Linked DNA regions of Danio rerio. The protein of the gene in region 1 purifies or fractionates together with the protein of each later gene. This does not show direct contact. Links are inferred from orthologs where the notes say so. Each region holds a gene or a part of one and is shown in the gene's direction. Other genes may lie near its edges. The genes, in order: ybx1, ago2, usp10, mrpl3, chchd2, ilf2 and igf2bp3.

What was found.
Region 2: the proteins of ybx1 (region 1) and ago2 purify together in Homo sapiens (co-immunoprecipitation; 4 studies listed by BioGRID and IntAct, with this or other methods). This does not show direct contact. The link is inferred for Danio rerio from reciprocal best matches to the Homo sapiens genes YBX1 and AGO2.
Region 3: the proteins of ybx1 (region 1) and usp10 purify together in Homo sapiens (co-immunoprecipitation; 3 studies listed by BioGRID and IntAct, with this or other methods). This does not show direct contact. The link is inferred for Danio rerio from reciprocal best matches to the Homo sapiens genes YBX1 and USP10.
Region 4: the proteins of ybx1 (region 1) and mrpl3 purify together in Homo sapiens (affinity purification with mass spectrometry; 3 studies listed by BioGRID and IntAct, with this or other methods). This does not show direct contact. The link is inferred for Danio rerio from reciprocal best matches to the Homo sapiens genes YBX1 and MRPL3.
Region 5: the proteins of ybx1 (region 1) and chchd2 purify together in Homo sapiens (affinity purification with mass spectrometry; 3 studies listed by BioGRID and IntAct, with this or other methods). This does not show direct contact. The link is inferred for Danio rerio from reciprocal best matches to the Homo sapiens genes YBX1 and CHCHD2.
Region 6: the proteins of ybx1 (region 1) and ilf2 fractionate together in Homo sapiens (co-fractionation; 4 studies listed by BioGRID and IntAct, with this or other methods). This does not show direct contact. The link is inferred for Danio rerio from reciprocal best matches to the Homo sapiens genes YBX1 and ILF2.
Region 7: the proteins of ybx1 (region 1) and igf2bp3 purify together in Homo sapiens (affinity purification with mass spectrometry; 3 studies listed by BioGRID and IntAct, with this or other methods). This does not show direct contact. The link is inferred for Danio rerio from reciprocal best matches to the Homo sapiens genes YBX1 and IGF2BP3.

Annotation. Positions count from the first base shown.
Region 1 is NC_133183.1:56,874,186-56,877,064, reverse strand, and holds part of ybx1 (Y-box-binding protein 1), read left to right. Parts: intron 1-1,610; coding exon 1,611-1,931; intron 1,932-2,019; coding exon 2,020-2,105; intron 2,106-2,879. UniProt on the Homo sapiens protein: DNA- and RNA-binding protein involved in various processes, such as translational repression, RNA stabilization, mRNA splicing, DNA repair and transcription regulation.
Region 2 is NC_133194.1:44,207,482-44,210,981, forward strand, and holds part of ago2 (protein argonaute-2), read left to right. Parts: intron 1-1,307; coding exon 1,308-1,444; intron 1,445-1,520; coding exon 1,521-1,655; intron 1,656-1,742; coding exon 1,743-1,830; intron 1,831-3,398; coding exon 3,399-3,500.
Region 3 is NC_133182.1:74,677,648-74,681,837, reverse strand, and holds the start of usp10 (ubiquitin carboxyl-terminal hydrolase 10), read left to right. Parts: upstream 1-1,390; 5' UTR 1,391-1,634; coding exon 1,635-1,655; intron 1,656-4,190. UniProt on the Homo sapiens protein: Hydrolase that can remove conjugated ubiquitin from target proteins such as p53/TP53, RPS2/us5, RPS3/us3, RPS10/eS10, BECN1, SNX3 and CFTR.
Region 4 is NC_133194.1:21,458,606-21,462,105, forward strand, and holds part of mrpl3 (large ribosomal subunit protein uL3m), read left to right. Parts: intron 1-86; coding exon 87-185; intron 186-901; coding exon 902-1,001; intron 1,002-2,031; coding exon 2,032-2,092; intron 2,093-3,500.
Region 5 is NC_133190.1:6,038,359-6,040,842, reverse strand, and holds part of chchd2 (coiled-coil-helix-coiled-coil-helix domain-containing protein 2), read left to right. Parts: coding exon 1-232; intron 233-1,886; coding exon 1,887-2,076; intron 2,077-2,484. UniProt on the Homo sapiens protein: Transcription factor. Binds to the oxygen responsive element of COX4I2 and activates its transcription under hypoxia conditions (4% oxygen), as well as normoxia conditions (20% oxygen).
Region 6 is NC_133194.1:40,099,865-40,103,914, reverse strand, and holds the start of ilf2 (interleukin enhancer-binding factor 2 homolog), read left to right. Parts: upstream 1-1,250; 5' UTR 1,251-1,340; coding exon 1,341-1,345; intron 1,346-1,811; coding exon 1,812-1,871; intron 1,872-1,962; coding exon 1,963-2,005; intron 2,006-2,092; coding exon 2,093-2,197; intron 2,198-3,386; coding exon 3,387-3,464; intron 3,465-3,574; coding exon 3,575-3,677; intron 3,678-3,766; coding exon 3,767-3,832; intron 3,833-3,933; coding exon 3,934-4,050. UniProt on the Homo sapiens protein: Chromatin-interacting protein that forms a stable heterodimer with interleukin enhancer-binding factor 3/ILF3 and plays a role in several biological processes including transcription, innate immunity or cell growth.
Region 7 is NC_133194.1:22,624,807-22,628,306, forward strand, and holds part of igf2bp3 (insulin-like growth factor 2 mRNA-binding protein 3), read left to right. Parts: intron 1-837; coding exon 838-972; intron 973-1,074; coding exon 1,075-1,197; intron 1,198-3,500. UniProt on the Homo sapiens protein: RNA-binding factor that may recruit target transcripts to cytoplasmic protein-RNA complexes (mRNPs). This transcript 'caging' into mRNPs allows mRNA transport and transient storage.

The DNA of each region.
Region 1 (2,879 bases):
TGCTTTTATGTAGTACTAGTCAAGCTTTGGGCTTTAAATTAAAATGCATTAAACAGCACAAAATCATAACACAGATGTCAAACTCAATCCTGGAGGGCCGCAGCTCTGCTCAGTTTAGTTCCAACGCTAATTAAACACACATGATAGAACTGAGTCCTTCAAGCTTGTTTAATACATACATGCAAGTGTGTTGAAGCAGGGTTAAAACTAAACAGTTCCTGGTGGGTTGCAGTCCTGTATGGAGTTTGACACCCCTGCCTTGACTTTAATTGACTTTTCGATAGGGGTGGCTGAATATCTTGACTCTTGAATATGTGGAAACTTCACTAGACGCTGCTTGACCGTGTAAGCAGAGTGTTTATTTCTATATTATAACACTTTGTCAGTCGCCATTTCCTAAATGTTCACTCAAGCCTTTTATTGGAGACGTTTACTAGAGCACTTCACAATTCTTTTATTTAAACTGCTTTGTTAGTTTTATACTCTGTTTGTTTACTGAAAGAACTCTGTTGTCAACAAAGACTAAAGCTGAACTGAAATAAATTTTTCACAATAAATGAAAATAAAACTAAATAAAACTAATAAGTCACTGAAAAATGAACCAAAACTGAAAATATTAATTAGCAAAAATAATAGTTTTCAGAGCTAATCAATTGTGTCCGTGAGGTCTTGAATTTCTCTAAATTATTAACTTTGCGTTTAAGACTTTAAGGGCCTTAAAGTATTGTTTCAATTTAACTTTTGCATCATGTTTGAGTATAGGGTTGTTTGATTATAGTTGTATACTAAAGTTTTAAATGTTGTGATGCTGTGTAGTTTATGAAGTTGATAGTCCTGCTGTATTTGATGTCACACTGCTTTGTTTACTGCAGTAATGAAGGCAGCACACTGTTCTATAGGTGACATCTTCTGGATTAACATTGTTAAAGTATATGAATGATGTTTTAGTTTAGGACTAGTTTCTTACAGTCAATATTTAGTGAATCTATTTAATGTCGCCAATGTTATTGGTTCAGACTTGGTGGCGATGAGGTCTTCATGTTTGGTGATACCTGTTGGTTGTCAAGTGCATGATGTACCAAAAAACTAAAACGTATCAGTTTTTGTTATCTGCCAAAATTTGTTAACTATACATGTTGATACTTTTAATATGATGTTTCTCACTTTCATGCCAAACAACAGTTTATGATTTTGCTAATTTTTTTAAGTTGAATTTATATGGTGTTTCTGTTCAAGTCCAAAAAAAAAAAAAAAGCGGTGAAAACATTTGCTTAACTCTAGGTGTGTGAGAATTGCCAAAACTGAAACTAAATGTGTAAGAACAAAATGAAAATGTTGACAGCAAATTAAAAGCCAAACTAAAACTAACAAAGCCATTAATAAAAATGATAAGCTGAAATTCAAAATCAGAGAGGTTATGTCATCAGAACTACTAAAATAATTCTCTGCGTATCCTAAATAAAAATGCTTTGAAGCCGATATTGATTAAGCATCATATTTCTGGCCAGACTCTGAATGACTTACTGGAAAATTCTGCATCCATTATCTAAAGCAACAGCCCATCTATTAAATTAGCGGACACTTGATCTGCATTGTCTTCATTCTGTCAGGGGGCTGAGGCAGCAAATGTTACCGGCCCGGGTGGCGTTCCTGTGCAGGGTAGTAAGTATGCAGCTGACAGGAACCGTTACAGGCGGTACCCACGCAGGAGGGCCCCACCTCGCGACTACCAGGAGAACTATCAGAGCGACCCTGAGGCAGAGCCCCGGGAGAAGAGAGAGGGGGCAGAGAGCGCCCCCGAGGGGGAGATGCAGCAGCAGCAGCGCAGACCCACTTACCCCGGCAGACGGCGCTACCCACCATACTTCGTGCGGAGGCGTTACGGCAGACGCCCCCCCTACACCAACTCACAAAGAGGAGAGATGACAGAGGTATGCTTTTGGTGATGCCTGAGCATCAGTCAGTAAATTAAATTGGAAGCTGCTTTTTTGACTGATGGATGCTTTTCTTGAATTTTAGGGTGGTGAAGGTGAAGAGAACCAAGGGGGTCCAGACCAGGGCAACAAACCAATGAGGCAGAACTACTACAGAGGCTTCCGACCAAGGTTTGTATGTCATAAGAGGAACAATACTGCTGCTGGACTTTGGAGATCTTTCAGATATTCATGATTTTCATTATTTAAGTTTTCTTTTTCTATTGTTTTAATTAAGTATTAATTTAGCAATTCTATTTATTTATTTTTTTAATAGAATGATCCACCCCAAATTACAAGTTTCCTGATAAATTACTCTTGGGTCATTGAAGTAGGCCTGTCACGATCAATATATAGACTTACTGCACAACACATGGACTTGACCTCGATCATTTTTGGTGATGCAGTATATATCGCCCATACATAATCAGTTCTAGCAACGTTTTAACTGAGCAGCCTCTTTATGGTTCTAAACATTGTAGTAATTCCTAGAGTATATTTTTATGTGGATGACTGACAGCTGAAAATAGATCTGCTAACATATCACAGACTTTGTTACTTATTACCTTGCACTTTTATTCTATTTAAATTTTTTGTTAACATTTTATTGTTTACAATATGCGTTTCACACTTTTTGATTCCAGTGCCTGATTATTAAATAGTTAAAATGGCAATTAAACAATCTTAAGAATAAATTGTGTTCTTTGGAAGTGTATTTGTTTTGTGGTTAATATATTGTCATTCTGGCATTATTTAATAAAAGGCTTTTAAAATGACAATAATATTGTTTATCACTATACATTTTGGTTCAAAATGTTGTTTAACAAAAAAATAGATATTGTGACAGGCCTACGTCTAAGATGTAGATGACTTAATTTTTCTTCTCCTTTTTAGCTAAATCTGTGG
Region 2 (3,500 bases), on another chromosome or scaffold:
AGAATCTGATGTCAGAAGCACTTCAGTAATCACACGCATGTTGTTATCATCAGCTCAAGAAGTTCGTTAATTCAAATATAAACGCGCATGCGAGGATCGCAAGCTCTCTAGAGAAAGTGAAACCGCTCGAGCTTTTAAACAACCTCGTAAAACAACAACAGGACACGGCAGATTTTGTTCTTTTTGGCTTTGTGGCTTATCAAGACATTCAGCTGTGCATCTGGCTCCGCCTTTTGGTACCCTTTTTTTTTTGCTAAGTACCCTAGGGTACCCAAAAATTTGTACAGTACGGTTCGCTTTTTGGTACCTTTTCGACAGTGAAAATGGCCATAAAAGCGCACCGCACCCTACCGTACCACTAAGTGAAAACTGGCCATTTATTTTTACCTCTGAGTTTACCTTTGGGCCACTCCAGACAATAGATGAACAGCAACTACTGTGGAGGTGGAGATAAAGATAGTAAGGTCCCATCTGAATGGTCAAATTTAGATAAATCACCACTGCATAAAATTGTGCGATTACTTGTATTGCATATCCTATTATCGCAATAACCATAATTTTGTGATATATAGTGCAACCCTACTCCATGATATATTTTTTTCATTTAGCAACTTAAATCTGAGTAAGTGTGCACTGACTTATTCTACATAACTGTTTACTTATTGAACTGTACATACCCACTGCATATGGGCATTTGTAATTATGTACACACCCACTATACATATACACTTGTAATCATGCTTATTTATCTGCATACTACTGATTATTAATAGCAACCTGCACATATATTCATATATTGTTACATATACACTTGTGATCATGTTTATCTATCCCTGTACATATATTCATATATTGTAACATATACACTTGTAATCAAGTTTATTTATCTGCACACTACTGATTATTAATAGCAACCTGCACATATATTCATATATTGTAACATATACACTTGTAATCATGTTTATCTATCTGCACACTACTGATTATTAATAGCAACCTGCACATATATTCATATATTGTAAATCTGTTCATAGCTTATCCAACCTGTATATAATGTTCATAGTACATCCATTCCATCTGTAAATATCACCATAGTTTTCTATAACTGCACTTTATAACTTATTCCTGTATCCTGCACTTGCTGCTATTGCACTGCTGGTTAGACCTAAACTGCATTTCGTTGCATTGTACTTGTACATGTGTAATGACAATAAAGTTGAATCTAATCTAATCTAATATCTCCATTTTGGGAGATCATCATCCACAATGCTGTTGTGGTGTTTTAAGTATTATTGCTGTTTCTACAGGTACACCCCAGTCGGACGTTCATTCTTCACTCCATCGGAGGGCTGCTCTAACCCTCTTGGTGGAGGAAGAGAAGTTTGGTTTGGTTTTCATCAGTCTGTTCGGCCATCACTCTGGAAGATGATGCTCAACATTGATGGTAAGATTGCACTGACCGTATTCGTTGGACTTGATTTTGCACTTTGCTAATGATTTCTCTGTATAATCGTTTTTAGTGTCTGCCACTGCGTTCTACAAAGCTCAACCCGTCATTGAATTCATGTGTGAGGTTTTGGATTTTAAAAGCATCGAAGAGCAGCAAAAGCCCTTAACAGATTCCCAAAGAGTGAAGTTTACCAAGGAGATCAAGGGTAATTTCTTACAGTGGTCATTGACATTTACAACGGCTTTTATGGAGTTTATTTTGGGATAATGTGAATTTTGCATTCATTTTACAGGTTTGAAGGTTGAAATTACTCACTGTGGACAAATGAAGAGGAAGTACAGAGTGTGTAATGTGACGAGAAGACCAGCCAGCCATCAAACGTAAGATTTGACGACACAATTTCTAACTTGCTGTAGTAAAGAATTTTTAGGACAACATACTTATTCAAAATTGTATTTCAATTGTATGAAAAGTTCTCTGATTTATATCCCAAAGCAGCTTAAGCAATCAATTAAATTTATATCAAGCAAGCAACACATGCACACACATAGATTTGGGGTGTAGCACATTTCCCACATGCCATATTTTAAACATTTCTAAACAATTTTTATACTTAAGTTTTTTTTTTTGACTATTTTCATTTTTTTTTTAAATGCATTTTATATTCCTTTTTTAAACTCCAATACTGGTCAGTTTAAAGGATTTAATGTAGATCAAGGGGAATTAAATGCATGTATAAAATGTTTGGAAAAGTTTTATTTAGAAATACTGGCTTATTTTACACTATTTCTGGACATCTAAACACCAGTGTCTTAACATGGTTTTAATCTCAGTACCATGGCCCCTCACTGTAACGTGGTTCAGCTATCGTGGCCTCACATTTTCGCAGATTTTTTATTTTCTTTTGTGCAATTTGACTTTTTTTTTTTATGCGTCCTGATTGGCTGTAGACCATTGTCAATCAATCTCCTTCATGTCTCCTGTACCGTACAGAATGCATTCAGCTTGACAAATTAACATAAATCTTTGATCGCTATCAGTGTGAGTTTTAACAAGGATGCCCCACAGCGCCTTGCATTTTAGAATTGTAAATATAGGTTTCTATCAGGGTTTATATAGGTTTCTCAAGCTCCCAGCGTCGCCCAGATATGACTCGGGACTGTTCATATTTTTGCCGTGGCACAGAGCGCCGTCTGAATAATTTAATTTTAAGTAACATGCAAATGTGCGTGTACTGTGTGCGTTACTTCCAACTGTCATGTGCGAGGCGCATCCGGTGTGCAATCCCCTTAAGAATGGAGTCTGCTTAAGTTTTTTGAATCAGTGACTGCACGAAAAAGAACATTACACTGGATGCCAACATTATCCGCACAAAAGCTAAAAAGCTTTATAAACGTTTTGCTAACAGTGATGAATGTTTGCGTCTGACAGCAGGTTTTGATCTTTGGTTTTATTCTATAACACTGAACTTATTTTTCTGGACTTTTTTTTTTTTTTTTTTACTTTGAGAGTGTTTAAACAAGAGAAAAGAGTGAAAATGCTAATTCCTGTCTGAGAAAAATGTGTAGTAAGGGATTTTACAGCCTTAAAGCATCTATAATAATTGTACAAAAAATAATAAAGCTGACTACAAGGATTTCGCCTGTTGAGAGTTATTTTTAGAATGCAACTCCCGCAAATAAAGAGGGACCTCTGTACACCCAAAAAATATTTTTGCTTCTTGTTCAAACTGCTTATTTAATATAAGCTGAAAAAACACTAAAAAAAGCAGGACAAATTTAATGCATTAAACTTGACGGATTTGTGTTGAGACCACATGGTTGAATTGTGTGGAACCATGCGTTTTGTATAGTGTATTCTATTTTTTGTCATCACATTTAATATTTCTCATTGAAAGATTCATTATTTTGAAGCTGATGTCTTTAAAATGTATTTTGTTTGTCTCTAGGTTTCCTTTGCAGCAAGAGAATGGTCAGACCATTGAATGCACTGTCGCCCAGTACTTCAAGGATAAGTACAAACTGGTGCTTCGATACCCACATCTCCCATG
Region 3 (4,190 bases), on another chromosome or scaffold:
CCAGTTTTTTGCTTCTCTTAATTTTTCCTTTTTATTTTATTTATAATTAACATTTTTCTATAACATAAATTTGGCTGTACTAGTTTTTGGACCATTATCGTAAGTTATTTTGTTAGATAAGCTCCATTTTTGGTTTCAGTACTGACCAATCTAATGTATATGCACAAATATATTGTATAGCTTCTTATTAAAAATATGCATTTAAAAGATAGATTTGTGAGGGGTGTACTTATATACGCTGCTGAACATGGTATATGTAAAAATCTTGGTAGCTTGTACCAATTAACTTTCATAGTAGGATAAATACTATTCTAAAATACTATGGGAGTCAATAAGTACAAGCTAACAGAGTTTATTTTAAAAATATCTTTTGTGTTCAACAGAGGAAAGAAAGTCAAACAGGTTTGGAAGAAGTGAAGGGTGAATAAGTGACGGAAGAATTTCCTGTTTTGGTTGAACTTGGTACTTGTTTATCTACTGTTTCCTTTTTTATTTTATTGCTACGATATATAAAACTTAATTAGAAAATGATATTATTAAGTAATATTTATTAAATATTTATTAAATATTAATGATATTAATATATATTAATATATTAATGATATTAATATATATTAATATATTAATGATATTAAATATTTATTAAATATTAATGATATTAATGATATTAATGATAATTAATATTAATGATATTATTAAGTAATATTTATTAAATATTAAATATGCTCAGCATCCTAGTGCAAGTTTGAATTTGCACGTCATTTTGGCGCGCCCACCCTCCCGGCAGAACGTCAACGCACGCACACGAGCCCGTTGAAGCCTGATTTATACTTCTGCGTCAAACACCGGCGTATGCTACGGCGCTGACGCATAGCCCTTCGCCGTGGCCATCGCCGTCACTGACGTGCACCTCTCAAAAAATGTAACTACACGTCGCAACGACGCGTAGCATAAGCTCTGTGATTGGTCGGCTTGGTAGCGCTGACGAGTCTGGGCGGGACCGAGAGGCGCGCGAATGGCGCGACGCCGCGCGAGCGATTGTTTACAAGTGTGGAGTCCCGTGAAGGAGCTCCGGATGGAAAGTTTTGTTTTGTGTTTACCTCATAGTTAAAGTTGTTGCACGTCCGCCGGTTCCTGCCTCAAAATGAGCGAGTTTGAGCCACTTGTACATCCCGGAAGTGTTCAGGAAATGCAAAAAAGTAGCGAAGAAACTTGACACAGAGGAACATTTACACCTCACTGCCAACTAGCGTTTCGGAAGTGTTAATGCAGACCGGCAGAGACAGCGCGCAGAAGTATAAATGCACAGCCACGCGCGTTGCCTGCGCCGTGGGTTACGCCGGTCACCTGACGCAGAAGTATAAATCAGGCTTGAGAAGGGAGCGCGCGCGAGCGCCACTGGCAGCACACAGGCGCGAGATAAAGATGGCGGCGACGGTGGGGGAAACGGCGTGATATGCTGGAGTAGTGGCACTAAACCTGAGTAAAACCACTGTATGACAAACCATAGCAAAATGGAGACCATGTCACAGTAGGTGTTTACTGGTAATACCAAGTACTACAAACTCACCTTACCCCCCTACCCCCCCGAGAGAACATTCATCTTGTGATTGTGGAGAAATCTCACCGGGAGCATGGCTTCGCAAAGTAACCAGGTACGGAAACCGTTTTGAAGCTTTCATTTACAGTTTAATATCGTAGAGATTGTTTGTTTTGCTTTGTGCTGTACTTTCTGTTGGACTGTGCGTGCGAGCTCATTGAATCGGCAGCATGGCTGCAGGCCCACAGCCTTCACGCGCTTATTCAAAACCACTAGCATTCCGTCTGCTAGCTCACATTCAGGCGGCCATTATAATAAAGGTTTACGGGTGATTTACAGCTGTCATGAGGCTGTGTGTGTGGCATAGCGCTGAGTGTGTGTTTTTCGGCCATGAGTTTGTGTTTGGCCCTCCCGCTCACGCTGCTGCAGCGGCCTGGCCACGCGCGCGTGCTCGGTTAATAACGGTCATTAGCAGGCGGACGCGATCTTGCACTGAACACACCGCGTTTCGGCGACATTTCTGTCGGATACCGCCTGTGTGGCACACTCCACCGAATACAGTAAGAAAGTGTTAAGTGTTTCCGCGGAGTGTCTTCAGTTCAAGCAAGTTGAAATAGAGTCGTGTCGTGCTGCTAATGTAGTGAAATAGGCCTGTTGATTGGGGGCGGTATCGCTTCCTGTCTTCAATCCCATTCAAACTCTTGCGTTTGACTTTTACGTTTGTTTCTTGATCACATCGCATCCATTATATTTCTAGTGACAGCTCGTCACCACCAGGCTGTGTTTTTAGTGTCTTTAGACTGGTTTTGAAGTCAGCTAACTTTGAACGAGGCGCCGTGGTGAAGATGCTACATCATTGTAGCTCTGACTGCTAGCCACATGCTGAACTGTAGCGTCTCCACTGTGCTGTCAGTAAACGTGAAGTCTTGAATAATCAAATGCATCCCGATCGCGTTTAATGCGATGCATAGGGCTGGTATTTGTATTTATTAATGACGTGTGATATTTAAATGTGCTACTTTCATAAAGTTGGACGGCTTTTAGCACTGTTGCATTGATGCCATATGGCTGAAATGTGGTTAGTGTATTAAATGTGTAAAGTTATGGGTCATTCTGCTTAATAAAAGGTCTCTGACTGTAGGCAGTTTAGACACATAAAGCACAAGGTCCTGTCAAAGTAAGTTGCACATGTCATTTATGCATGTAAACTTTGAATTGTGTGACGTGCATTTGTCACCTTGCGTTGTTTTTAATAATACCTGTTTATTAGTACTACAGTTTTGTTAGGATTGTTGTAAGTAATTATTCTGGCAATGCTGATTGACATGGAACAACACCTTATGGAAAGTGTTTAGTTTTGACAGCATCTGAACACCGGTGCCTCAGCGTCATTTATTTCTTTACTCATTAAATTTTGATTATTAGACAGAACTGTTGATGTAAACAGCATTTACTTTATGATTAAAAAGGCAAACACTTCAATATTTTCACATATGTAGTAAATACACATTTGTATCTTTTGAATACTTTTAATAACTATTAAACACTTAATGATGCAACTACTTTTTTTGCATGCAACTTGGATCTTCTGTAGATTTTTTTTTTTATTGAATTTTTTTATGCATTCGTTTCCTGCATAAACACATTGGATTGGGACAGGAGATGTAGTGTTTTAATGTTTAATGTATACAAAATTTGAATGACCCTGTCTATTTAAGACTCCCAGTGTGCTCAAAAATAAAGTATAATAAAGGATAGGCATGGGCCGGTATAAACTTGGGTAAAAATATCACAGGTTCACGGTATCTCACTATTGCGATTGCTGCTCTCAAATGAGTTCTTTTTTTTAAATGTCTTGGTAAAAAACAACACTTTTCCACAATGACAATGATTTTAAGAATCATTTTGGAGCAGTAAACATGTATGGCTAAGTAATTAAAACAAATCATTGACGTTTGCTCTATTTGTTAGTTTCTAAAACACAGATTTCTTAAGGCATCTTTAAAAAAAGGCATAAAAGGCATCTCTTGATATATTTTCTGCTGTAGATACTGTTCTAAAAACATTAAAAAAAAAACCTTACATGTGTCGTAGGAACAGTATAACAGAGTTTTTGTGGTATTAAAACTTTAACTTTTCCAAACCACGGTATACCTTGAAAACGGTTATCGTCCCATGCGTAATTAGAGGTAGTAATGGGCCAGTGTAAGATTCTGACAGTATGATAACCTTAAAAAATATATTGGGGTTTCACAATATTGTGATGTATTTCTTTCCCCTTTGAACACAATTTAGTTAATCTTGAGAAACATTTAAAATATTTTGGAGCAGTAAACACGTCAGGCTAAATCATTTAAGTGAATCATTGACTTGTGCTGTCTTTTGTTTCAAAAACACAGAGTTCTTGACAATTTAAAACGGCATCTTTGGAGATCTTTTCTGTCGGATATACTGTTAAAAACAAAAGTCTGGAGTAAAAAAAATCCTACATATTCCATAGGAACAGTATAGCAGAAAATGTTGGCGATTTTTAAAACCTTGACTTTTCTTTACTGCGGTATACTTTTGAAAAACGATTATTGTCCCATGCCTAAAAGATTTGATTGTTTTTAAAAAAAAATGCTAATGCATTTATTCTCTTGTTTATTTC
Region 4 (3,500 bases), on another chromosome or scaffold:
TTGGAGTTATGTTTTGTATGTATGCAACTGGGAAACTGTAAATGCAGTTGGAATTTGAATTTAACACACCCAAATCTGTCTTTCAGGTGAAGGACTGTCATGTAGTCAAACATCTGTCCAAGGAAGATTATAATGGGCACACATCAGCTCTGGTCGTTGGTGGAAAGAATGTCTCTCCTTTTCACGTAAGACATGTCTTGAACGTTTTTCAGTAAGACTGCTCTTGTCCACATGCTCCTAACGAACCTCTGTCTCTTCACCTTTCTGCCAATCCTTGACCTCTCTGAGGTGGAACAGGATAATAGACTAGAGCTGTTCTGCTTCTGTGGATGAGAGGGATTATAATAAAACCTGAAAAGAAATTAGAGGGCTCTCAGTAGATGTAGAGGTGACCTTTTTGTGTGTATGTGCATGTTACGGAAAATGATTATGTGAAACCTAGACAACTTGTCTCCTGTACAGCTTTTTTAAGTGCATTCTTCTGGAACTCCTCGATTGACTTTCTGTAATGGTGGAACTGTTGGTGGTAGAAAAGAAAGACTAACAGTGATGGACAGATTCTGACGGATTTTTTAAACCCCTTCAACAGTTCAGTAGAGTTTGCTATAAAAAAATAACTTTTGTCAGTGTCATTTTCCCCCATTTTTGGCAATAAGCTAGTGTGTGTGTCATCTGTCTGTATTTGACAGCTGCCACAAAGTGCTGCTTGAAGTGTAATTGTCAATTGTCCTGACCTTCAGTCCGAGCCTTCAGTCAGTCAATCAACTCCCAAAACACAGCAGAGCAGTTTGGGTTTAATGTATTCTCTTTTTCTTCACCCTTTCTATGCTTTTTAAAGATAAGTTAGAAAATCTCTTGCAGTAACTCGGTCAAGCTATTATTTAATTTTTTTTTTTTTCAGAGGCCGGTGGGATATTTGGAGATTTTCCAGAATGCAGGAATTCCACCCAAGCAGAAACTCACCACCTTTTGTGTTACAGACAATGCTATAATCAAACCAGGTATTCTCACCTGTCAGTGTTTGTGTGTGTGTATTCTAGCCAAAATAAAGCAAACTCCAGAAAAAAAAAAAATATCAAATGAAATACTGTGAAAATTTCCTTGCTCTGTTAAACAAAATTTGAAAAAATAAAAATAAAATAAAAGCTAATAATTTTAACTTAACTATAACAGATATATAATCTGTAACAGATTAAAATCAATTTAGTTTTAATTTTGAATTTCAGTAAACACGCCCTAAGGCTAATTTATACTTCTGCGTGAAGCGCATACGTATGGTCTGGCGCAGCCTTTGCGCAGTCGCATACCCCTTGAACATAAATAATGTTGCACGTTTGCAGGTTCCCGCCTGTGAATTAGCGAGTTTTAGCTTCTTGTACTTTAAGGTAGCCTTCAGAAAAAACAAAACACCAGCAAAGAAAGTCAACATAGAGGAGCATAAAAACCTACTGCCAGCTAGCATATTGGAAGTGTTATTGCAGAGCAACACAAACAGCGTGCAGAAATATAAATGCATGACCTCACGCAAGATGTGCCGTGGGTCACGGTGGTGATCACTTGACGCAGAAGTGTAACTCAGCCTTTACAATGTCTGTTTGATTGTGCATTTTGTTGTTTTGTTTACTTTATTTTTTTTCTTCTTTTTTTTAAGTTTAACATTTAGTAATTTTCTTGTATACTTTTTGTCATTACCATTGTTGGGGGTAACCTGTTATAACTAACTCACGTTACGTAATAATATTACTTTTGCAAAATAACAAGTAATATAACGCATAACTTTTAAAAATAAGTAATATTATTTGAGTTACTTTTACTTTTTTTGTTACATATTTCACCGAAAATGACTTCACAAGTTGACTTATAAAGCAAAAACAACACTCCTGATTAAATTTTTTTAACTTTTACACGTTTTTGATTATTTTTCCCTTGTGTATTTGTTTATTATTATTTGTTGATTTTGTTTCAGATTTTTTTTTTTGGTCAATTTGTTTTTTTTCTGCTTTGACTTAAGTTTTGGTTTTCTTTGTCTAGGCACTCCTCTTTACGCAGCTCACTTCCGTCCAGGACAATATGTGGATGTCACAGCCAAAACGTGAGTCCAATACAAATGCGTCTATGAATCTTTGTATTTCTATTTTGATAGTAGTATCATTGATTTTATAAGCTAATAATTATGGGTGTTTTGCTCTTACAACTGCCTCTTTGAGTTCAGTTAAAAAGTACCAGAGTTCATGCACCTTTTTGATGCAGTTTGTTTGGCCAGGTGGGAAAGTGGAAATCATACTCGGGTGTGCACTAAAAGTAGTCCACAAACAAGTGTACTGAGACCTGCTTAAAGAGGTGCTCTCTGTATGCTTTCAAATGAACTCTGAAGAACTTAGTTACTTGACCACAACTATGGAAGGTCTGCAAATTTCCTCTGCTCTTTGTTTATTTTTGTGTGTTGTGTATGCGAGTTTTCCACCCGTTAATTCTGACCAATTAAAATGCAGTTCAGGAAATAGCCAACGACTCATATGGATGTTGTCTTGTGACTGCTTTTTAATTCATTCCAACTGGTTGTGAACAGTCGGTCTGTTGTGAAATGGAACCAAACTGCTCAAATGTAACATTTTTGACCAGACCAAAGACAACTTACTACAGATGTAAATGGGGGGAGAATCTTAAACTGCCAGCCCGCGGGCCATTTACGACTGCAACTGACATAAAAGATATAAGGAGATTCGACCCGCCAAAACATATATTTTTGAACCCCTATCATTGTTGTTTACTCTAGCCACTTGTGGTTTTGACCGGCCATCTAGTCAACATTTAAAATACTGCATTCAGATTGGTTTTACTTTCTTTTTCTCTGTGAACAGTTGAGAGTAACACACATGTATTTTAATTCTGTGGCTAATTTAAACGTTAAAATATATGTCCATAAGTGCTGTAATTTTACCTAAGCGCTATAGTTGTAAATATTCAAGGGTTGTTTGCGTATTTTGTTGTACAAACAATTCTTCTTTTCTTATGTTATGCTGGTGGTGTAACAAATATGTTAGTATTTGATTCAAATGGTCTCATTTAATAGATTTTCCTCATTTGCTTATTAGGATTTGCATAAAAACTATCGAAGTTTGTAAAATTGTACTGCTAGTTGAATTAAACTTGTTAAAGTAAATGTGAATATGCACATACTTTTCTTCTCTTAGTTGAAGTAAAAAAAAAAAAAGAAAGAAAGAACAATTGCCAGTAAAGTCACTTAAGGTAAATAAACTGCTTTCTGCTATTCTTATGCTATTTGGATAATACAATTGGTTGGGACAGATTTATAATTTTTATGCCTATTATTTGTAGTAATTTTATAGCAATTTAAAGGCATCTATGGTGAAAAAACTATTTTTCGAGCTGTTTGGACTGGCATATACGTAGGTATAGTGAATCGATTGTCATATTGGGGTGATATAAACACACCCAGTCCTTTTTTTTTCGGTGCCTGAACCGATACTTTTTAGCCA
Region 5 (2,484 bases), on another chromosome or scaffold:
AGCAGCTCCTCCGCGGTCTTACGCACCCGCTCCGGCTCCTCCTCCACCTTCAGCGGTGGCTCCTCCTGCTGCTGCTGCTCCCCGTCAGCCGGGAATGTTCGCTCAGATGGCCTCCACTGCTGCAGGCGTTGCTGTCGGCTCTGCTGTCGGACACACAATAGGTCACGCCATGACCGGTGGCTTTGGCGGAGGGGGACATTCTGAAGCTGCTAGGCCCGATGTGACCTATCAGGTAAACGTTATGGCACGGGTGCATTCATTTTACATTTATTTTTATTTTATAAAAAGTGTTCTGAAGATGAATGAAGGTCTCAGAGCATTAGAATGACATAAAATTTTTATTTTGGACAAAATAACTTTAACCTCAATAGGTAATGACTACTGACAATAGAGTACTCGCATACCTGTCAACATTGGGATGTGAAAATAAGGAAATTTCCCACCATAATAAGGGATCCCCCGCAAAAAGAATTCCCAAATTACTAAATATGTTCTCCTGGAGGTGTTTCATTGTAAATAAACAGTTAAATGGTCAGTAATATGTTTAATATTATTATATACAAAAGGAAAAAATAGTTAACATTAGCAGCAAATAAATAAGCAAACATTCATTCATTCATTTTCTTGTCGGCTTAGTCCCTTTATAAATCCGGGGTCGCCACAGCGGAATGAACCGCCAACTTTTATCTGTTTATTAGTAATTATTATAGTATTTTTTGTCTAGTTGGACTCGCTAAATAATATTAGAAAATTTTCTTTCAAATTACACAATAATACATTTAACCAAACCCTAAAACTTCTAGAAAATCTAGTTATAATATTTATAGAATTTCAAGACAATTTAGAAATTTTGAGTTTATGTCAGTTTATCAGTAATTAAAATATTTGTGTCTAGTTGGACATTCTATATCATATTAGGAATTAAAGGAAACGCAATAATGAATTAAATTAAAGGCTAAAACTTCTAGAAATTTAAGAAATGTATAGATAAATATAGAAATTTATAAATAAATGTAAATATACAAGACCGCTATTTATATACAAGAATTTATATCTGTTTAATAAATATTTAAACACTTTTGTCTAGTTGGACTTGCTAAATCATTTTAGCGAATTTTATAAAAAAAATTCTAAAAACGAATAATGAAATCAACCGAACACTAAAACCTTTAGAAATTCAAGACAATTTGACAACTTTACAACAGAGTTTACATCAGTTTTTTTAGTAATTATTGAACTAGTTTTTAATTTTTCTAGTTAGACTTGCTAAGTAATTTTAGCAGTTTTCCTTTAAAGAATACAATAATCAATTCATTCATTAATTTTCCTTCGGCTTACTCCCTTATTTATCAGGGGTCACCACAGCGGAATGAACCGACATCTATTCCGGCATATGTTTTACGCAGCGGATGCCCTTCCAGCTGCAACCCAGTACTGGGAAACACCCATACATTCACACACACATACACTACAGCTAATTTAGTTTATTAATTTCACCTACAGCACTTGTCTTTGGACTGTGGGGGAAACCGGAACACTCAGAGGAAACCCATGCCAACACGGGGAGAACATGCAAACTCCACATAGAAATGCCAACTGGCCCAGACAGGACTTAAACCAGTGTTCTTCTTGCTGTGAGGCAACAGTACCAACCACTGAGCAACAGTGTTACCTATAATAAATTCCAACCCTAAAACTTCCAGAAATTTAAGATATAATGAAATATACATTGCTCAACAATTTTTACAATTATTATTGTATTCTATTAGTAATTATCTCAATATTTCGTCTAGTTGGGCTAGCTAAATAATTGTAGGAGTTTTTAAACAAGGCAGTGATGAATTCTTGGAAACACCTAAACTTCTTCATCCTTGATGGTCTCTTAGGAGCCGTACCAGGGTCAGGCCATGTACCCGCCACAGCAGCAACAGCAGCCCATGTACCAGCAGGATCCGCAGCAGCAGAACCCATGTTCATATGAGATGAAGCAGTTCATCGAGTGCGCTCAGTCTCAGAGCGACCTCAAACTCTGCGAGGGATTCAGCGAAGTGCTCAAACAGTGCAGATTCTCCAATGGTTCGTACTGTGAACTCGTTAACATGTGAAAAGTTGCCCTTATTTTTTCTTATTTATGGGTTATAAAGTTGTCCCCTTGTTGCAGCTTTATATAAATTATGTAGTGGATTTGTAGCAACATTATTATTTTTTTTTCCAAAAGTATTTTTATTGAACATATTAGATATGAAACATACATTACAAAATAGCTTTTCAATTTTTTTTTTTTTTTTTTACACAACAAACAAACAAAACCTGCCGCACATACATTTAGGGTCACATACATTTAGGGTCACGAAACACCAAAACACATTTTTTGAGCTGTTGACAGTCGTATATGTGTCCCACACTGCTAAAACACTATTAGGACACCTATATTTCACTAAAAAGTGTAAATTGCTTGTTTTTGCGTTATTTCAAGCAAATTCG
Region 6 (4,050 bases), on another chromosome or scaffold:
TATACATATAATCCAAAAACCTGCCTGGACACCTACCTAAGACATTTCACAAGAAACTGATAATATTCATATTAGATTATTACAAATATTCTTACCTTCTGTCTTATCACTGCATTTAGTTCTGTAGATGGATGTGTTGTGATGATGGAGGCATATTGCTGTAATAACAGTGGAGGTGACTGAACATTTAAAAAACAACCCTTATCTTACTTCAGCACATGCATTACATCTACGTAATTTGCGCAAAACTGCACAGCTTTGGATTTCCTGCGTTTGATTGGCTGTGGAATGTAACACAACTTCTGTCTGGTGTTCTCTGATAAAGGCAGTGTGAGGACTGTACAGGTCCACCCCTGACATGTCAAGTCTCCCCTGCAAGATGCATTTGAAGTGATTATTTATGGAAATAATATTTGTTGTTGTTGTTTTAATCCCTAAAGGTTTTAAATATATAAGACATAAAAGGGTGAAATAATACAGACCAAACTGTCTTCTCTTGTTTATTTAAATTTCTAATAGGGTTCCATAGCTAGGGTCGAACAATGTGGACCTGTTAGTGATGTGCTTGTTTGTTTGTGTATTATTTATTTCAAATGAAGTAAATTATCTGTGTTTGTATATTTCTAATCTTTACAAAACTATAGCTATCTTCAGCAAAGTATAACCATGTGACAGCAGCAGTCTAGATAGAGGTTAAGTTGGTTTTATATACGGAAATTCAGATATTCTCATTAATAATATAATTTCAGAAAGTATTCTTTGCAAATTCCAAATAGGGAAATCATATTAGCAGCAAATGACTATCAAAGTACAACATGGTTCACAGTGAATTAGATACTAATAATGTTGTTTAGAAGTCATGCTTGCATGCTAATTCAGATCGAACATTCAAAGTAACATAGTAAACTATGGTAATCTATCTAGAATGTTGTGATTTAATCCTTACAAAATTTTATGTATGCTATATGCTACTTGTTTGAGCTTATCCAAACAATAGAATGTTTTAAAAGCGAGTAGTTGTCATCCATACATTGTAATGCATAAAAATAGTATTTTAAATAATTTCATAGTTGACTTAAAGACAATAAAGCTGAATGTTAGATAGTTTCTCTTTCTGCTACTGTTATTTCCTCCCTAAATAAACTCGAAAAACCTTAATTCAACTGAGACTTTTACTATTGTGTGGGCTGCTATTTCGGGCTTTTATTCTAGGTGGTTATGCTGGATTTATGAAGTTACTTCCGTTTTCTGAAGCTAGCTACTCGGCGGCTATCTGCAGGCGGAGGCAGAGCTCTTCTCACCAGCGTGTGTCCTGTTAAACTGACAAAACGTCTTACGCAATGAGGTACGAACTGATTTATCATTTATAGTTAAACAATCTTTTTGATTAGGTTATAAACCGAATTATAGCAAAATACTGTATGTTGTGATATTTTATACATTTTTTTCAAAGATGCTAAGCTAACATGTTAGCATGTTCTGCTAGCCCCTTTGTCGGTTTTTAATCAATACAGTAACTAAATAAACACTTTTATTAGTAAAGTTTTTCCGGTTATAGTCATAATTCTGGATTTTCTATACATATTGTGTTATTTGCAAAACGATGTGTTCCTGAAAAAAAAACCGAGAGCGTTTATGAATGAATGAACGCCGTGCTTTTATTCGAACAATACTGCTATCTAATTTGTGATATTTATTTTTTTATTTGGGTTTTAAATTAAACTTTAAAAAATCCAATTTTGGGTTATCGCTGGACATCATTATTTATTTATTTGTATTGCACTTGCTGAAATTACGTTTTTATTTCTCAGAGGAGATCGTGGCAGGGGCCGAGGTGGCCGGTTCGGCTCCCGCGGAGGTTTGGTCCAAGGGTAAGATTTCATGACCATATTGTTTTGACCCCCTTACTTAAATTTGGTTATATTGTAATAATTTTGTAACCTGTGACTTCTCTTGTCTCAGGTATCGGCCCTTTGTCCCTCACATACCATTTGACTTCTATGTTGTAAGTACATTTATTGCTTTTCTGATTTGTGGGGAGGAAAAACAGCCTTTTTAAGCCCAGAGCTCATGACAACTTGCTTTTGTACAGTGTGAGATGGCCTTTCCTCGAGTGAAGCCGGCCTCTGATGAGACTGCTTTCAGTGAATGTCTGTTGAAGAGGAACCAAGACCTCAGTCCAACCCCCTCTGAACAGGTATGGTCATAAACTATTATGAAAACTGCACACTCCATGACTTCTGCCCTTTCATGCTAAAGGGATAGTTCACCCAAAAATGAATGTCGTTGACATTTACACTCGTTCAACTTGTTCCAAGCCTGTTTGAATTTCTTAATTTGGTTGAACACACCAAAAAATGCTGGTTTCCCATATTCTTAAGAATATCTTGTTTTGTGTTTAACAGAAGAAATTCGTTAACGTTTAGTACCCCTTGAGTGGGAGTAAATTATGGAATTGTAATATATATATATATATATATATATATATATATATATATATATATATGAGCAATTCCATGAAAATGTCAACCTTGCCATGAAAAGAAAAATGTTTTTCACCAAAATAGCGAAACCGTTCCTACATTTTTTGCGCAGGCAAGTGTTTTACAGTACTTTAAAAATACTTAAAAATGTCTCTGTCAATGTTTTCAAACTAATTTATTTGATTTACCAAAGTCAAACAAATGGCAATTTCACATCCGTCACATCCATAACGAAAAAGTGTCACATCCATAGCAAAGATTTTCCCTCAAAAATGCAAAAATGTCAAAATAAAATAAAATAAATCAGTTTTGTTCTATAAAGAGCCAACTCTTATCCTTTTGTTGAGAATTATTTATTTTAGGTTGTGCAGTTTAATTCACAGATTTTTTTTAACGAAATAAGTTGTATACTGTAAACTCGCAGACTTTTTTTGTCACATCCATAACACTTGTTTATTTTCCTCATTTAAAGTATAAAAATGTTCACAGATTGAATTTTTTTGATCCCAGAACTCTGTGGTTAGTTGTTTTGGAAAATATAAACGGATGATTCAATATAATGTTAAAATATACTTTCTCTGCAAATTTATGTTTTGAATTTTTACTGCAAATGTCACATCCATAACGCTGGAATCAGCCCTATATATATATATATATATATATATATATATATATATATATATATATATATATATATATATATATATATATATATATTATATATATCCGATAAGGTCTCAACATCCTCTATTAATTTTTAAAGATTGTGAGCTGTTACACATTTGGTTTTGACCTAGAATAGATGCATAAAATGTGATATTGTATTAGGAGTGCAAAAGCAAACCAATTTTTGATTGCATTATTAACAAATTACAGCAAATTTTTTCTTCATTTTTGTCACAGGCTTCCATTTTGTCCTTGGTCACCAAAATTAACAACGTCATTGATAACCTAATTGTGGCACCTGGAAACTTTGAAGTGGTAAGATATTTCAGTAAAACATTATTATTATTATTATTAATGCCTTTCAAAATATTTTATGTATATGTTTTTAGACTTATTTAATGAAAGTTTGATAATCCCTTTTTCAGCAAATTGAGGAAGTAAGACAAGTGGGCTCCTATAAAAAGGGCACCATGACTGCAGGACACAATGTTGCTGACCTTGTGGTTATCCTGAAGATTCTGCCCACCTGTAAGTCTTGAGATTTCTATGAGGCCAACATGTTGCTCCTAGCCCAAGTGTACTTGGTTTATCAGTAATGTTTACGTGTTCTTGTTCAGTGGAAGCTGTTGCCGCCTTGGGAAACAAAGTTGTTGAGACCCTGCGAACCCAGGACCCTTCTGAGGGTGAGTATAGGCTTTAATCTGGCAGACCTGTAGTTTCAGGGAGGGAAAAAAAATCCGACTTGCTTGCCATTCTCACTGATGCATTTTCCTCTTCTCCCCAGTGTTGTCCATGCTGACAAACGAGACTGGATTTGAGATCAGCTCTGCCGATGCCACAGTAAAAATCCTCATCACCACTGTCCCACCCAATCTGCGCAAACTGGACCCAGAGCTTCATT
Region 7 (3,500 bases), on another chromosome or scaffold:
CAAAACACAACAAACTACTGAAAAGAAAAGGCAGTTTTGATGATTTAATGTACAAAAATAGCCAAGTATATTAAAAGTAGCCAACTTTATTTTATTTAAAATTATTTTTGTTGTTGACAGTTTTAACAGTTTGATCAGTCTTTTTTTTTGTTCTTTTAAATTGCAGTTCATAAGCGTTTAGCCTGATTTAACTTATCATTTTTCAAATTTCTGAAGTGTTTGTGTCTATATAGTGTAATGTTTAAATTCTATCAAATATTTAAAAAATATTTAAATGTATATTTTTCAATGTTTTCTAATCTCACCCTTTACTAGCAAATGCTGCATTTATCTGAAAGAAAAAATGCAGTAAAAACATGAATTGTGTGAAGTTCTTACAATTGTAAATTTCTTATTTCTATTGAAATTTTTGAAGTGTAATTTTGTTTCTTTTTTGACAGCCTGTAATTATGGTAGCTGAAAATGGCTTTATCATATCATCGCATTCACTAGAACTATGTTAAGCTGCTTTGACACAATCTTAATTGTTAAAGCTTTAAACTGAATTAAACTGAATTCAACAGTCATTTAGAAACCATTTATTATTAACAATTTAAATTTATAAGAACAGTTTCTTTTTTTAAAGTGACCAAGTTGAACATTTTTTTTACTGCTACTTTTTAATTTTTTTTTATTCTTATTGATTTATTGCATCTTTGCATGAAGGATTGCCTTCAAAGAAAACTCAAAAACCGAAAATTACAGTTACTTTTTTCGCCTGAATTTCATCAACAGAAATGTCTTAGTATAAGGAACCTCCAGTTGGTTAACACACTGATTTCTAATGTGTGTGCACAGGATTGACATTCATCGTAAGGAGAACGCAGGAGCAGCAGAGAAGCCAATCACTGTTCACTCAACACCAGAGGGCTGCAGTTCTGCCTGTCGAAACATCATGGAGATCATGCAGAAAGAGGCAATCGACACAAAGATGTACGTTAATGCATGTGCCCACTGTATAAAATGGTTTTCTGTCTGTCATACTAAAGTTAGTCTTGTGCGTTTAATCACACCATATACACCTTTCTCTCATAGCACTGAAGAAATTCCCCTTAAAATTTTGGCTCATAACAATTTCGTTGGCCGCCTCATTGGAAAAGAGGGACGCAACTTGAAGAAAATCGAACAAGATACTGACACCAAGATCACAATCTCACCGTAAGTAGTTTTCATCTTTGCGTTCTTTCATGTTGGTTTTCTTTGTTCGTCACTGCTGGATTCTGTTTCCCAGCATGCAGCATGTCATGAATAAATCATCTGCACTGGGTTGAATTTTAATTATTATATAGACTTCCCAAGATGGCGCATATTGAACAGAGATTAGACTTGATCTGCACGAGTGACTCTGAAACTGCATTGCATTTGGAAGGGATCTTCCCAATGTCCTATAGCTTTCAGAGGATTTACCATCCTGAGTGATCACTTCGAATGTATTAGGAAATAGAGATGAGTCCTTCCGAATACAATGCAATGTGCAACTCCAAATAACATTCCTGTTCAAAGGATCATGGGGGACCAAATCCTTCATTCTGAAGTGCTTTTCTGTTTTGAGTAGTTTGATTTGGAACAACACTTCAAAATGGATACCATGATTGTTATGGTGGTCATCTATCCCATTTGGAATGCACCATTGTTACTTGTCCAGTTAGCTTATTCATTCTGCCCAGTTCTGTTTGTCCTCTATGTTGGTCAATGCTAATTGCGAAGGAAAACCGATGACAATTAAGATTTGGACTGCTTTCTTAGTTGGTAGTTTGACATTTAAATGTGAGGGAATTGGGGTTTAATTATTTAGCAGTGGTTTTAAGTGAAGTATCATAACATATTCAGGTCAGTTTTGACCTGAAAGAGAAGCAAATTATGTAATCTCAAATGTTTTTTAGTCAGGGAATTGAAGTTGCAAGAATTTTAGTATGGTGAAATACACACTCTCAGACTTTGATTCAGAGGTAGAACAGTTTAAAGAAACCTAGGTGTTAAAGAAACGATTTGAGTCAAGTCTTCATGAAATCAAAATGTGCTATGTTTATTTTGCTAGCTCACCATTATTATACTTAAGGTGAATAATTATTCAGCGCAAGTTAATCCACTGAAGAAAAAAAAAGTTTGTTTTGATCATCTTCAAAGAAGTTTGGTGTGGTGGTCTTTTTGTTGACGCCAACCTGAGGGCTTCTATAGCAATTGCATATTGATACCCTCTCTTGTCGTTAGTTTGCTAAAAGGAAATGATGCGCAAAAGAAGCCCAGCTGTATACAGGGTTCGCACAAGGTGCTTAGAGGGTTTGAAATTGGCTTTTACAAATTTAAGTTCCGGAAAACCTGAAAAATTGTCTTGTTTTGTTGAAAAGTGCTTAAATTAACAAGAAGATTTTGTATGCAATTTTCACGCCAAAAAAGTTAATGTTTGTGAACGTTTGTGACTATTTAATGCAAAAATTCTCCATGCAAACCACTGTGATTCTGAAGCGGAGATTTGACTGATTTGAAAAGTGACCACTTACAGTCGGCCTTGTCTAGTTTTTACGTGAAAGTTAAGGGTGGGACAAAGGCTAAGTTTCACATTTGTTTGTATACGTTTTTATTTCAGTCATTGCAACACAAAGGCCTATCAGAACTTTTAATAAAGGTGAAACTTTAATTTATTTGCTATTAAAGAATTATGCTAGTTAAGTTTCAGAATGAAGTATTTGTACGATTTATACATAATAGCTGTCTTTTGGTCTGTTATTTCTAAATACCTTAAGTCATTTTTTTAATTTTTTTATTGACTGTCAGTCTGTTTGGCTTTTTTGTAGAATTATTTAAGGTTAAAATCAAGTGTAAAATAAAATTTCCATTTTCTGTCAAGCAACAAATTTTCCAACATTTAAAGACAAACAAAAATGAGCAAAGAAGGAAAATAGTGTAAAAAATGGCTAAATTTTGGTATTTTCATAATTATACTATATAATTATGGTAGTTTTGCCACTGGTTTTGAAAAAGATTAGTTGAAAGGAAAAATTTGCCACACATTGTTAGTGCAAATTCCTATATATGTGGTTTTGTGATTTTTAACAATTAAATGTAGTGTATGTGTATTTATATAGCACATTTTATTGTGTATGGCCATACACCCAAAACGCTTTACAATCATGATTGCGATCTCTCCACACCACCACCCATGTGCAGCATCAGCTTGGATGATGAGATGGCACCCACGGGACAACGGCGCCAGTGCGCTCACTACACACCAGCTATAGGGGGATAGAAAGACAGTGATAGAGCCAATTCGGTGGATGGGAATGATTAGGTAGGCCATGATCCTTAGGGCCGATGGAGGGATTTTGGCCAGGATTCCGGGGTTACACCCCTACTCTTTACGGGACGTGGCATGGGATTTTTAATGACCACGGAAAGATTAATGTCTCATCAGAAAGACTGCGCCCACTGACAATGTAGTGTCCCCTTCACTTTTACTGGCG